Linked DNA regions of Neodiprion lecontei. The protein of the gene in region 1 interacts with the protein of each later gene in a pairwise test. Links are inferred from orthologs where the notes say so. Each region holds a gene or a part of one and is shown in the gene's direction. Other genes may lie near its edges.

The links.
Region 2: the proteins of pre-mRNA-splicing factor syf1 homolog (region 1) and peptidyl-prolyl cis-trans isomerase E interact in a two-hybrid assay, tested with the Caenorhabditis elegans proteins (2 studies listed by BioGRID). The link is inferred for Neodiprion lecontei from reciprocal best matches to the Caenorhabditis elegans genes syf-1 and cyn-13.

The regions. Positions count from the first base shown.
Region 1 is NC_060264.1:23,215,607-23,222,141, forward strand, and holds pre-mRNA-splicing factor syf1 homolog, read left to right. Parts: upstream 1-1,788; 5' UTR 1,789-1,930; intron 1,931-1,945; exon of another isoform or gene 1,946-2,018; 5' UTR 2,019-2,082; coding exon 2,083-2,124; intron 2,125-2,204; coding exon 2,205-2,353; intron 2,354-2,409; coding exon 2,410-2,731; intron 2,732-2,814; coding exon 2,815-3,114; intron 3,115-3,189; coding exon 3,190-3,337; intron 3,338-3,409; coding exon 3,410-3,561; intron 3,562-3,632; coding exon 3,633-3,853; intron 3,854-3,935; coding exon 3,936-4,098; intron 4,099-4,182; coding exon 4,183-4,296; intron 4,297-4,385; coding exon 4,386-4,548; intron 4,549-4,645; coding exon 4,646-4,755; intron 4,756-4,828; coding exon 4,829-5,032; intron 5,033-5,122; coding exon 5,123-5,357; intron 5,358-5,436; coding exon 5,437-5,592; intron 5,593-5,677; coding exon 5,678-5,757; 3' UTR 5,758-5,926; downstream 5,927-6,535. Other genes in the region: adenylate kinase isoenzyme 1, read right to left, coding at 1-74, 262-450.
Region 2 is NC_060262.1:20,670,162-20,674,508, reverse strand, and holds peptidyl-prolyl cis-trans isomerase E, read left to right. Parts: upstream 1-2,221; coding exon 2,222-2,447; intron 2,448-2,720; coding exon 2,721-2,890; intron 2,891-2,976; coding exon 2,977-3,339; intron 3,340-3,452; coding exon 3,453-3,770; 3' UTR 3,771-3,835; downstream 3,836-4,347. Other genes in the region: 3-sulfolactaldehyde dehydrogenase, read right to left, coding at 471-1,991; dehydrogenase/reductase SDR family member 4, read right to left, coding at 4,120-4,290.

The DNA.
Region 1 (6,535 bases):
TCGATCAGGAACCCCGGGACCTTGTCCTCCTTTCCCTTGTTTATCTTCTCTTTGATCAGTCCGAGGACGACGTCCTGTATAATTGGTGATTAACAAAATAAACCATTGAATACCTTTTTTTTAAAGACATATTTTTGACTTCATATGCAACGTTTCATATTGCAACTAGAACGCGCTAATTTGATTTGATGTTGTCCGAAGACAGACGAGAAGACGAAAGAGAACTCTTTAGGAATTCGGGCCAAATGTCCCGCAACTTACGGATGGTACAAAGAGGCCTTGGGACATGAGCTCTTGGAGTTGGGCGCCCCTTGGACTGCCACTGGCGACTTCGTCCCGAAGAAGATCACCGCTGCTGAGATGAAGGAAGCCGTACTTTGCAACGATTTTCTCGCACTGGGTGCCCTTCCCGCATCCGGGACCGCCGACGACCCACAGTGTAACAGTCATCCTTCTCGATTTTTTGCTAACGTGTGATTCCTGGTTCGGCGCCTAAAAAACCAACAGCTGGGTCAGTAGTCGTGGGTTTCTGAACCACGAGCGGTATAAGAGTAGAGCTGATAACTCGCACAGCTAGGAGAATTTTATTTTTGAATTATACGATCTACTGGCATCCGTCCAATTCCGGCTGTTAGATGATTCGCTTTCGCATGAATTTATACGTTCGACGATCGCACGCGTGTTCTTAATTTATTGAAAAATCCCGAGGCCGGTCAAGTTATGTAACTGAACAAATTGTGTTCGAGCAATTACATTAAAAATTACAGAGCACCGTTGCGAGGCATGATTATTCCGGCTTACAAGCTGATGATTATCATTCTGTGCCCAAATCGGCGCGAGACCTCGCGTTACGCAGGTGCAAATTCGAACGCAACTAACCGACGTACCTCGATTGTTGCACCTTACCTGAGCGTGGTTGATCTTCGTGTTCGCGATCAGCAGATTAGAAGCCTTGTCCCGATAGTCGGCGACGAGAAAAAACGAGATGAACAGCAGCAGCGGAAGGATGCTCCACCAGAATAAACGTATGTCGGCGGCAGCGGTGGCGAGATCGTGGTTTAAATAATTGTGCAAGTTCTTACACGCGGATATACATATAATTATTGCCCTCCCGCGCTAGACAATATCATACAGCGCGCGCGTTACGCAAAGCTGCGTTTATAAATAAGTGCGTTATAGACGCGCGTTCAAGGTTTTGACGAGCTTTTAACATCTCTTCGCTGTTCTATTATACCTATTCGTTCTTGCAAACTGGTGTCATAATGCCAGAATGCATCAGTTTTCTTCGATATACGATAAAGAGGCTTGCAGAAGAGGAAAGCAGCTTTTATCCATATTCTATAAGTTTGAAATACGCACCCTTGTTTATACTGTATGAGTCATCCTCACAGTAGGCATGGTTCATGTAAAGTATACACGCATATTACAGCAAGAGTATAATAATTAAGCGATCAAAATACCAAAGGTGACGCATTTTGACTCCATAATTGCTGTCTGTACTTGTTTAATTGCCATTTTTACTAAGTAATGCGTGAATTATTGGTGATGGACGAATTAAAGTCTTAAAATAATATATAAAAATGAATTTAAGAGGAGCTGAGAGGAATCGATAGTCGGGTGCATGTAGAAGTGTACGTGTATAATCCGCATCTAATTGCAGAGACGATGTAGCTGGTAATTCCATGATAAAACGGAAGAGAAAGTATTCAAAGTGTGTTTGTTTACCTCTACTACTAGAATTATTTTACAAACAGCACGGAAGGTTGGTTTTCGCTGCTTTCATTGCAAGCGAGATATAATTTGGAAGGTGAAACTGTTCAATCCCAATTCCTACGGTTGACATTCGACGATAGGACTGCCGTCCTCTGGTGTCTTTACGGTCACAATAGATTCGGAAACAACTCAACGATTCCCCGTCTGCTCCGTCTGCGTCTGTATCATTTTGGTAGTTTCGGGTTGTTTGACGCGGTATTACTTGCTAAGTTAGGTCGTGCTATACAACGCTATACGTGTTACAGTTATGTCGCATTGTTATTAATTTGAAGAGAATAAAAGCCGGGTCTAGTCATTACTTGAGCAGAGATGATGCAGCGAGAGGATTCTGATGGGAATAGTTACATCTTCGTGAGTATAACCTTTAAATATTTTCGGTAACTAAACCTAACCTCAAAAAACAAATCAGCAACCTTCGTTATCTCTCGCAGAATGAGGAGGATCTGCCTTACGAGGAGGAAATCCTGCGGAATCCTTACTCTGTTAAGCACTGGCAACGCTACATTGATCACTTGAAGAGCACGAAGAGCGTTAACCTCAATATTGTCTATGAACGAGCCTTGAAGGAGCTGCCGGGAAGGTGAGCAAAGAGTTGCTCTATACTTTGAACGATCACTAAATGAAAATATTTTATAGCTACAAGTTATGGTATAACTACTTGCGTCAGAGGGTAAAACAGCTGAAGGGACGCTGCGTGACAGACCCGCTCTACGAGGATGTAAACAATGCTTTTGAACGAGCACTTGTATTCATGCACAAAATGCCTCGAATCTGGATGGACTATTGCACCCTGATGACCGATCAGTGTTACATCACGAGGACCCGTCAGGTATTCGATCGCTCGCTTCGGGCTCTTCCCATCACGCAGCATCATCGTGTCTGGCCACTTTACATTGGCTTCCTCAAGAAACACAATGTATATGAAACAGCTGTACGCGTCTTCAGGAGATATCTGAAGGTGAGTACTCCCCGATCGATTTATTTTCATACTAACATGAAATGGTACTCAAATACTACACGGATTAAGTCACATGGTTGCAGTTAGCTCCAGAAGATGCAGAGGAATACATAGAGTATTTGATATCGACGGGAAGACTGGACGAAGCTGCGGTCAAATTAGCCCAAATCGTAAACCAGGACGACTTTGTGTCAAAGCATGGTAAATCGAACCACCAGCTGTGGAACGAGCTCTGCGACCTTATATCAAAGAATCCTACCAAAATAAAATCCTTGAACGTTGATGCAATAATCAGAGGTGGATTGAGGCGATATACTGATCAGTTGGGTCCACTGTGGAATTCATTGGCTGATTATTACGTTCGTAGTGGCCTTTTTGAGCGCGTAAGTATCTTTTACAATTCGCAAAACAGTGAACGAGATCTTTGTACTTGGACCAAAAGGTTGTTTTTTCCATAGGCCAGAGATATCTACGAAGAAGCAATCCAGACAGTTTCCACTGTCAGGGACTTTACCCAAGTGTTTGATGCGTATGCCCAGTTTGAGGAACTCAGCCTCAGCAAGAGGATGGAGGATGCTGCCAAAAATCCCAATCCAACCGAAGAAGGTAAGTCTTAAATACTTGGCTCATTGACCCAAGTGAGATTATCTATTGTCTACAATTTCTATGATTTTATAGATGACATTGAACTCGAACTTCGATTAGCAAGATTTGAACACCTCATGGAGAGAAGACTGTTGTTGCTGAACAGTGTGCTGCTTAGGCAAAATCCGCACAACGTTCAAGAATGGCACAAACGAGTCATGCTCTATGAGGGGCAACCTCATGAGGTAACCAAAGTCGAAGAAACGTCAACATCTCTGCTTGGTTGATCAAGTCACTAACAGATGAAATTTCTCAGATAATCAACACGTATACAGAGGCTGTTCAAACGGTGTTGCCACAACAGGCAGTTGGCAAGTTGCACACACTGTGGGTTGCGTTTGCCAAATTCTATGAAGAGAATGGACAGATCGCAGATGCCAGAGTTGTTTTCGATAAAGCGACGCACGTCGCATACACGAAGGTTGATGATCTTGCTTCCGTTTGGTGCGAGTGGGCCGAAATGGAGATCAGGCACGAGTAAGTATTGATCATTACAAATAGTTGCAATTCCATTTTAGGAATTTACTGTAATTATGGTGTTCCATTTTCTTGTAATTAGCAATTGCAAAGAGGCCTTGAAGCTTATGCACAAGGCAACCACCATGCCCTCACGCAAAGTTGCGTATCACGACGAGACTGAGACCGTTCAAATGAGATTGTACAAGTCACTTAAAGTCTGGTCCATGTACGCTGATCTCGAGGAGAGCTTTGGTACATTCAAGGTACACCATGTAATATATCTATTGATTGTCAATAAAACTGGTCAACATTGAGTTGCTGATTACAGATGAATTTTCGTCTTTCAGACGTGCAAGGCTGTGTATGACAAGATCATAGATCTCAAAATTGCGACGCCGCAGATCATCATAAACTATGGTCTATTTTTGGAGGAGAATAACTATTTCGAGGAAGCCTTCAGGGTGGATATTTCTTTTTCTCTCAGCATGTAGCAATACACCTTGTATCTACATATCGCGGAATATTCGACGTTTACGCTTTTTTCTTTCAGGCCTACGAAAAGGGTATTGCTCTGTTTAAGTGGCCAAATGTATATGACATATGGAACACGTACCTCACCAAATTCCTGAAAAGATACGAGGGAACGAAATTGGAAAGAACTCGCGATCTGTTTGAACAATGCTTGGAACATTGCCCACCAAAGTATGCGAAGGGTAAGTTTGTTCTAAAATTGAATAGGTATACCAAATTTTACCTAAAGCCTGTCCGTCTTGATTTTAAACGACATTTAAATTCTTTTTGTTTATCAAGCTCTTTATTTGCTGTACGCGAAACTGGAAGAGGAACATGGCTTAGCAAGGCACGCGATGTCCGTATACGAGCGAGCGACTAGCGCTGTTTTACCAGAAGAAAGATTTGAGGTGGGTAACGGTGTTCGAAAGAATAGGTAAAAGTTTGTTGGGCGTAGTTTTTTCAATTTTTCATTCCTTTTAGATGTTCAACATATACATAAAGAAAGCCGCTGATATATACGGAGTGCCGAAGACGCGGCAGATCTATGAAAAGGCGATCGAAGTTCTGAATGAAGAAAATACGCGGGAGATGTGTCTCCGGTTTGCAGAGATGGAAACTAAGCTCGGTGAAGTCGATCGAGCGAGGGCGATTTACGCTCACTGCAGTCAAATATGCGATCCCCGGGTTAGCGAATTGCTTAACTTTATTTTAGTTATCTTTCTCAATGCTCTGTACGAGCAGCAAATAAGTAACACAGTGGTTCTTGTTCCTTAGGTAACGTCTAATTTCTGGCAAGTTTGGAAAGAGTTTGAAGTCCGCCACGGCAATGAGGACACGATGCGGGAAATGCTGCGAATCAAGAGAAGCGTGCAAGCAATGTACAACACCCAAGTAAACATGATGTCAGCACAGATGCTTAACAGTGCGACAAATCTCTCTATCGATGACAGTGCTGGCACCGGTGACGCTATGCGACTTTTGGACAACAAGATACCCTCAACCAGTACAGGTCAGTTTCTGGTTAAGTGTACGAACCTAAAGAAAAATTTGTAAAATGACTCATGTCTAATTATCGTTCCTCCTTCCAGATGCTGCTGCGCAACCCGGATTCAAAGATAATATCAAATTTGTACGAGGAGTAACTGAAGGAGCTGGAAAGTCCGAACGTCAAGTGAACAATCCAGATGAAATAGACATTGACATGGACGACGACAGTGAAGATGAGGAGAAAGAAATTGAAGAGGGTATAGTATTACATCTTCTTGTTCACTAGGAACGAAACTCCTCTTACACGAATATCCCCAGTTTGATGGTGTCTCGTTTTTCTAGATGTACCGGTAGAGAAACAAGCCATTCCATCGAAAGTTTTTGGAAGCCTCAAGGCCACCAAAGAGGACGAGGACGACTAAAGATTTTTCAATACGACATATTTGTTGTCATACGAGCATTCACCACTATGGTTTGATTCGAAGTGGAAAAAAAAACAAGTAAACTATTGTACATGTCGTTCATCTGTTTGGCTCCGAGCATTGCCTTGCACGTGGAGAATTGAAAATAAAATTCTGATTCGCGCCTGTATTGTCCGCCTTACCGTTTCTGTATCAACCTTGCATTTTGGAAAAACTTATGCGTAATAAAATATCAAAATGAAATCCTACAGATCAAGTTACGTTCAACACCCTAATGGACTGCCTGAGTGGTTTGGATCCTAAAATTTAAATCGATTGTATTCCACTACGTTGAAGAATATAAAGACTGTTACCCCTAGGTAAATTTTTGTGACCAGTTTTTGGCGGCCAAGTGAGCCCGGGTGGGCCTGGGACCGTAGAAGGGTTTTGCTCTATCGACTCTATCTAACGGGCTCTCGCCGACATTCCTAGCAACTAAAGTAGTGTCGGTATGGAAGCTTGAGATTGAGTCGGCACAAAGTGAGTACGTAAGACTGTTGACTGCGACTTAGAAATGTTCATCAGCTCGATGATCCCCGTGAGGAGACGCGTAACCGCGTCCACCGCCAACCGCCTCCGACGACCACCGCATCCACCGTCAACCACCCCAAATACCACCGAGCACCTCCAACCGCCGTCAACCACCTCCACCCACCTTCGTCCTCCCCCCCCCCCCCCCCCTCTTCCTGCTCGTACTCGCCCAACCCCCCGACCCACGTCTTCCTCGTCGACCGCCGAT
Region 2 (4,347 bases), on another chromosome or scaffold:
TTGGCCACCCTGTTCTGTACCTGTGTTATATATTCTCCAATCATTAGGAGTCCAATGTATGACATTGTCAAGATTCATACAATAAGAAATGATATTACATTCTATAACAACCATTATTTCGTAAGTTTAATTAGAAATATAAGCAGCATACTAACTAGAAAATTCTTATTAAAATGGAAGACTTCGGACATTTATAATCACGCACCTATAAATCGATCAAAGAAAGACAGAAAATAAAAAATCATTAACTCTGTCTTATTGTCTAAGAATAAAATCATCGAAAGCTTGCCTTCCAAAGACTGACATTTTTTCTTGTTCTTTTTTTTCTGTCTTTCTTGAAAGCTCTAGCCCTGAGATCGATCTTTTTTGTAGATATTGCAAATTGACATCGAATTAAGTATGTGAATGTGTCGCGTTCTCATAGTGTCTGGACTCATTGAGGAATGCTCACAAGGTGCTTAAGATAACTTTCATGACTGATAGGCAACGTTTCCTATGCAGACGTACTTTACATCTACAAAGTCGTCGATCCCATGGTGAGAACCCTCTCTTCCCAGTCCAGATTCCTTGATGCCACCAAATGCAGCTTCTGTACACGAAATAAGCCCTTCGTTTACCCCAACCATGCCTACTTCCAGTTTCCTTGCGACTCTGAAAACCTGTGATATATCCTTGGAGTAAAAATACCCTGCAAGACCGACAGGTGTATTATTTGCCTCCCTAAGAACTTCTTCCTCGCTTGAAAATTTGTTTATAACAGCGACAGGGCCAAAAATTTCTTTGTTGTAAATTTGCATTCCTTTGGTGACACGCGTAAGGACAGTTGGGCCATAGAAAAGAGGGCCTAATTCAGGTAAAGGCTTGCCTCCACAGTGGAGCTTCGCTCCTTTTGTAAGGGCATCATTGACCAGGTCAGAGACCATCTTGAGTTGTGACTCTTTGATCAGTGGGCCATTGGTAATCCCTTCTCGACTTCCATCGCCCATCTTGATATCAGAGTTAATTTTAGAAACAAATTTATCGACAAATTCAGTATGCACATTCTCATGAACAAAGAACCTGTTAGCAGAAACGCAAGTCTGTCCTGTGTTGCGAAATTTGCTGGCCATTGCACCAGCAACAGCGAGGTCAATGTCAGCTGATTCAAAGACAACGAATGGAGCGTTTCCCCCGAGCTCAAGACTTAGCCGTTTAATTGTCGATGCGCACTGTCTGTAGAGGATCTTCCCGACAGCTGTTGAGCCTGTGAAAGACATCACCCTGACCCTCGCATCCTCGCACAAGAGCTTCCCAACAGCCGCAGAGTTCTTGGGACTGGTTGTGACAACGTTGAAGACGCCAGCTGGAAACCCAGCCTGTTCTGCCAGATTAGCGAGCGCCAGAGCGGTCAGCGGAGTCTCTTCAGAAGGCTTAACGACACAAGTACAACCAACAGCCAATGCTGCTCCAGCCTTTCGGGTGATCATAGCATGCGGAAAGTTCCACGGAGTGATGAGAGCCGCAACACCAACAGGCTGCTTGAGCAATAGGACCTCTCTACCGCGCACTGGCGATTGGATCACCTCACCATTGACGCGACGTGCTTCCTCAGCAAACCACTCTACGAACGAATTACCGTACTTTACCTCGCCCCGCGACTCCGCGAGGGACTTGCCGCTCTCCATGGTCATTATCTGCGCCAGGTCCTCCGCATGCTTCACCATCAGGTTATACCACCCGCGCAGCAAGTCGCTCCGTTCCTTCGCCGTCGTGTTGCTGAACTCCCCCACGGTGAAGGCTCGCTGCGCTGTATCCACAGCAAGCTTCACGTCCGACTCGCTCATGTCCGGGACTCTGCCGACTACCGAACCGTCGAAGGGATTCAGCACCTCAAATGTCTCGCCGCTACCGGCATTTCGCCATTCGCCGCCAACGTAGGCTTGGTTTCGCAGCATGCTCAGTGCACGCCTGCAACAATGTTGCCACTGACTGTATCGCATTAGGGAAAACATGTTTAACTGTTACCCGGTTATCGGATTATTATGATGAGACAGATTCGTCGGGTTACGTAATCCCTCTAAAAACGCTATGAACCCCAAACGATCGACCGGGTTCGAATCTCGAATTTCGAAGCACTGACGCTTATAACTGCATAAAAGAGGACAGCCTTGCTCGTACTAATAAGCCGCCAGCATGATTCTACCGAGTCTACTCTCGGAACTCGACACCAGTTCGGATTGATATGGTCTTACTGGAATCGAATTTTAATGATCGCTTTGCATGGCGACGGCTTGTAATTGCGCGACAAGCAGTGCGACTTGTTGACAACACTCAGTGCGTCTTACCGGCGTCAGACAATGTTTACGAACGAATTTTATTAACACGTTGTTGTTTGACTTTTATCTGCAGACGACAGATTGATCTCGATTGTAAAATGAGTAACAACGCGAAGAGGACTATATATGTCGGTATGATTCGCCTTGTATTTTTATAATCACTGGATTGAATGAAACTAACCTCAATTATTCTCGCTCGATTTCTGTATTTTCTCGAAGGTACTAATTATCTTGTCTGTTTCTATTTTTCCACTACCCGAGTTATTTTTTTCTTCGGTTAATCATTCACTTGATGTTCAAATATCATATAATTGAGGAAATAAAGATATGAATTTATAATAGGTTAGGTTAATAGTGTAAGTTGTTTTTCCTCAATGTTCCTGCGACCAATGTAATTGTACGTAGGTGGGTTGGCTGAGGAAGTAGACGAAAAGGTGCTTCACGCCGCGTTTATACCATTCGGAGAAATCGTCGATGTTCAAATACCACTAGATTACGAATCTGAGAAGCACCGAGGATTTGCATTCATAGAGTTTGAAATTGCTGAGGATGCTGCCTCAGCAATTGACAATATGGTACAAAAAGACTAATAAACGATATAATCAGAGGCAGTGAGAGACAAATTAATAAATTTATTATTCTTGTGTTTTTCATTCACTAGAATGACTCTGAGCTTTTTGGCAGAACCATAAGAGTAAACATAGCCAAACCGCAAAAGATAAAGGAGGGTTCATCTAAGCCAGTTTGGGCAGATGATACTTGGCTCCAGGAACATGCTGGAGAGACACTAGAAACTGATGACTCTACGGCAAAAGTTGATAGCGGACCTCCAGCAAAAAAAGGAAAGCAAAATCCTCAGGTCTACTTTGATGTCAGTATAGGAAAACAGGAGCTGGGCAGAATCATCATGATGCTTAGAGCTGATATTGTTCCCAAAACTGCAGAAAATTTTCGTTGCCTCTGCACACATGAAAAAGGATATGGATATCAGGGCAGCACTTTCCACAGAATCATTCCAGATTTCGTATCCTTGACTTTGAGTGTCGGTTGAAACACCCCATATTTTTTTTCAAGCCAGACACCAATCAAAAGAAAAAACAAAAGGTTTTTTCCTAAACTAATATTTTTATAAAACAGATGTGCCAAGGTGGAGATTTCACAAACCATAATGGAACTGGAGGGAAGTCTATATATGGAAATAAATTTGACGACGAGAACTTTGAGCTCAAACATACGGGTCCTGGGACCTTGTCAATGGCAAATTCAGGCCCTAATACAAACGGTTCTCAATTTTTTATGTGCACGGCACGTACGGACTGGCTTGATGGAAAGCATGTCGTATTTGGTCACGTTCTTAGTGGATTAGATGTATTAAAAAAAATGGAAAAATGTGGAACCAAAGGAGGTACCCCTACTCAAAAAGTGGTCATCACAGCTTGTGGCGAGCTGACATAATTAACTGATAAAAAAATGTTATTTTATTATAGCTTTCTAATAAACTCTATAATACATTGTATAAATTCAAAGAGTATCCCAATTTTTTAGCCGATAAAATAGCGATGATAATGAGCACTCTCATCAATACATAATATATAATGCATAATATGAAGCCAAGCATACAAAGAAAGAATCCTTGTTAACTTTGATAATTCGGGGAAAAGCATGTAACAAATGTATTTTTGTAAATGTTATCATTATTTTTTTCTAAAATTGTTTCTGAAAAATTACCTGTGAATAATATGGACTCTGGGGTGTTGAGTCAGACAATGCAAAATTTATATTGTTGATATTTGATGTAGACTTCTCAGAGTCTTGATAACATGCCACCAGCTCCGACGATAGTTTCACCAGTAATGTAAGATGCGTCCTCACTCGCTAAGAAAGCTGCGATTCCTGCTATTTCGTCTGTAGTTCCTAATCTTTGCAGAGGGATTTTTGACATGGCCAAGTCATGTGCTGCCTCGGATTCATAGAGCTATAAATTTTGACCATAAATTTATACATTGTTCACGAGATGTACAAATTTTCACCG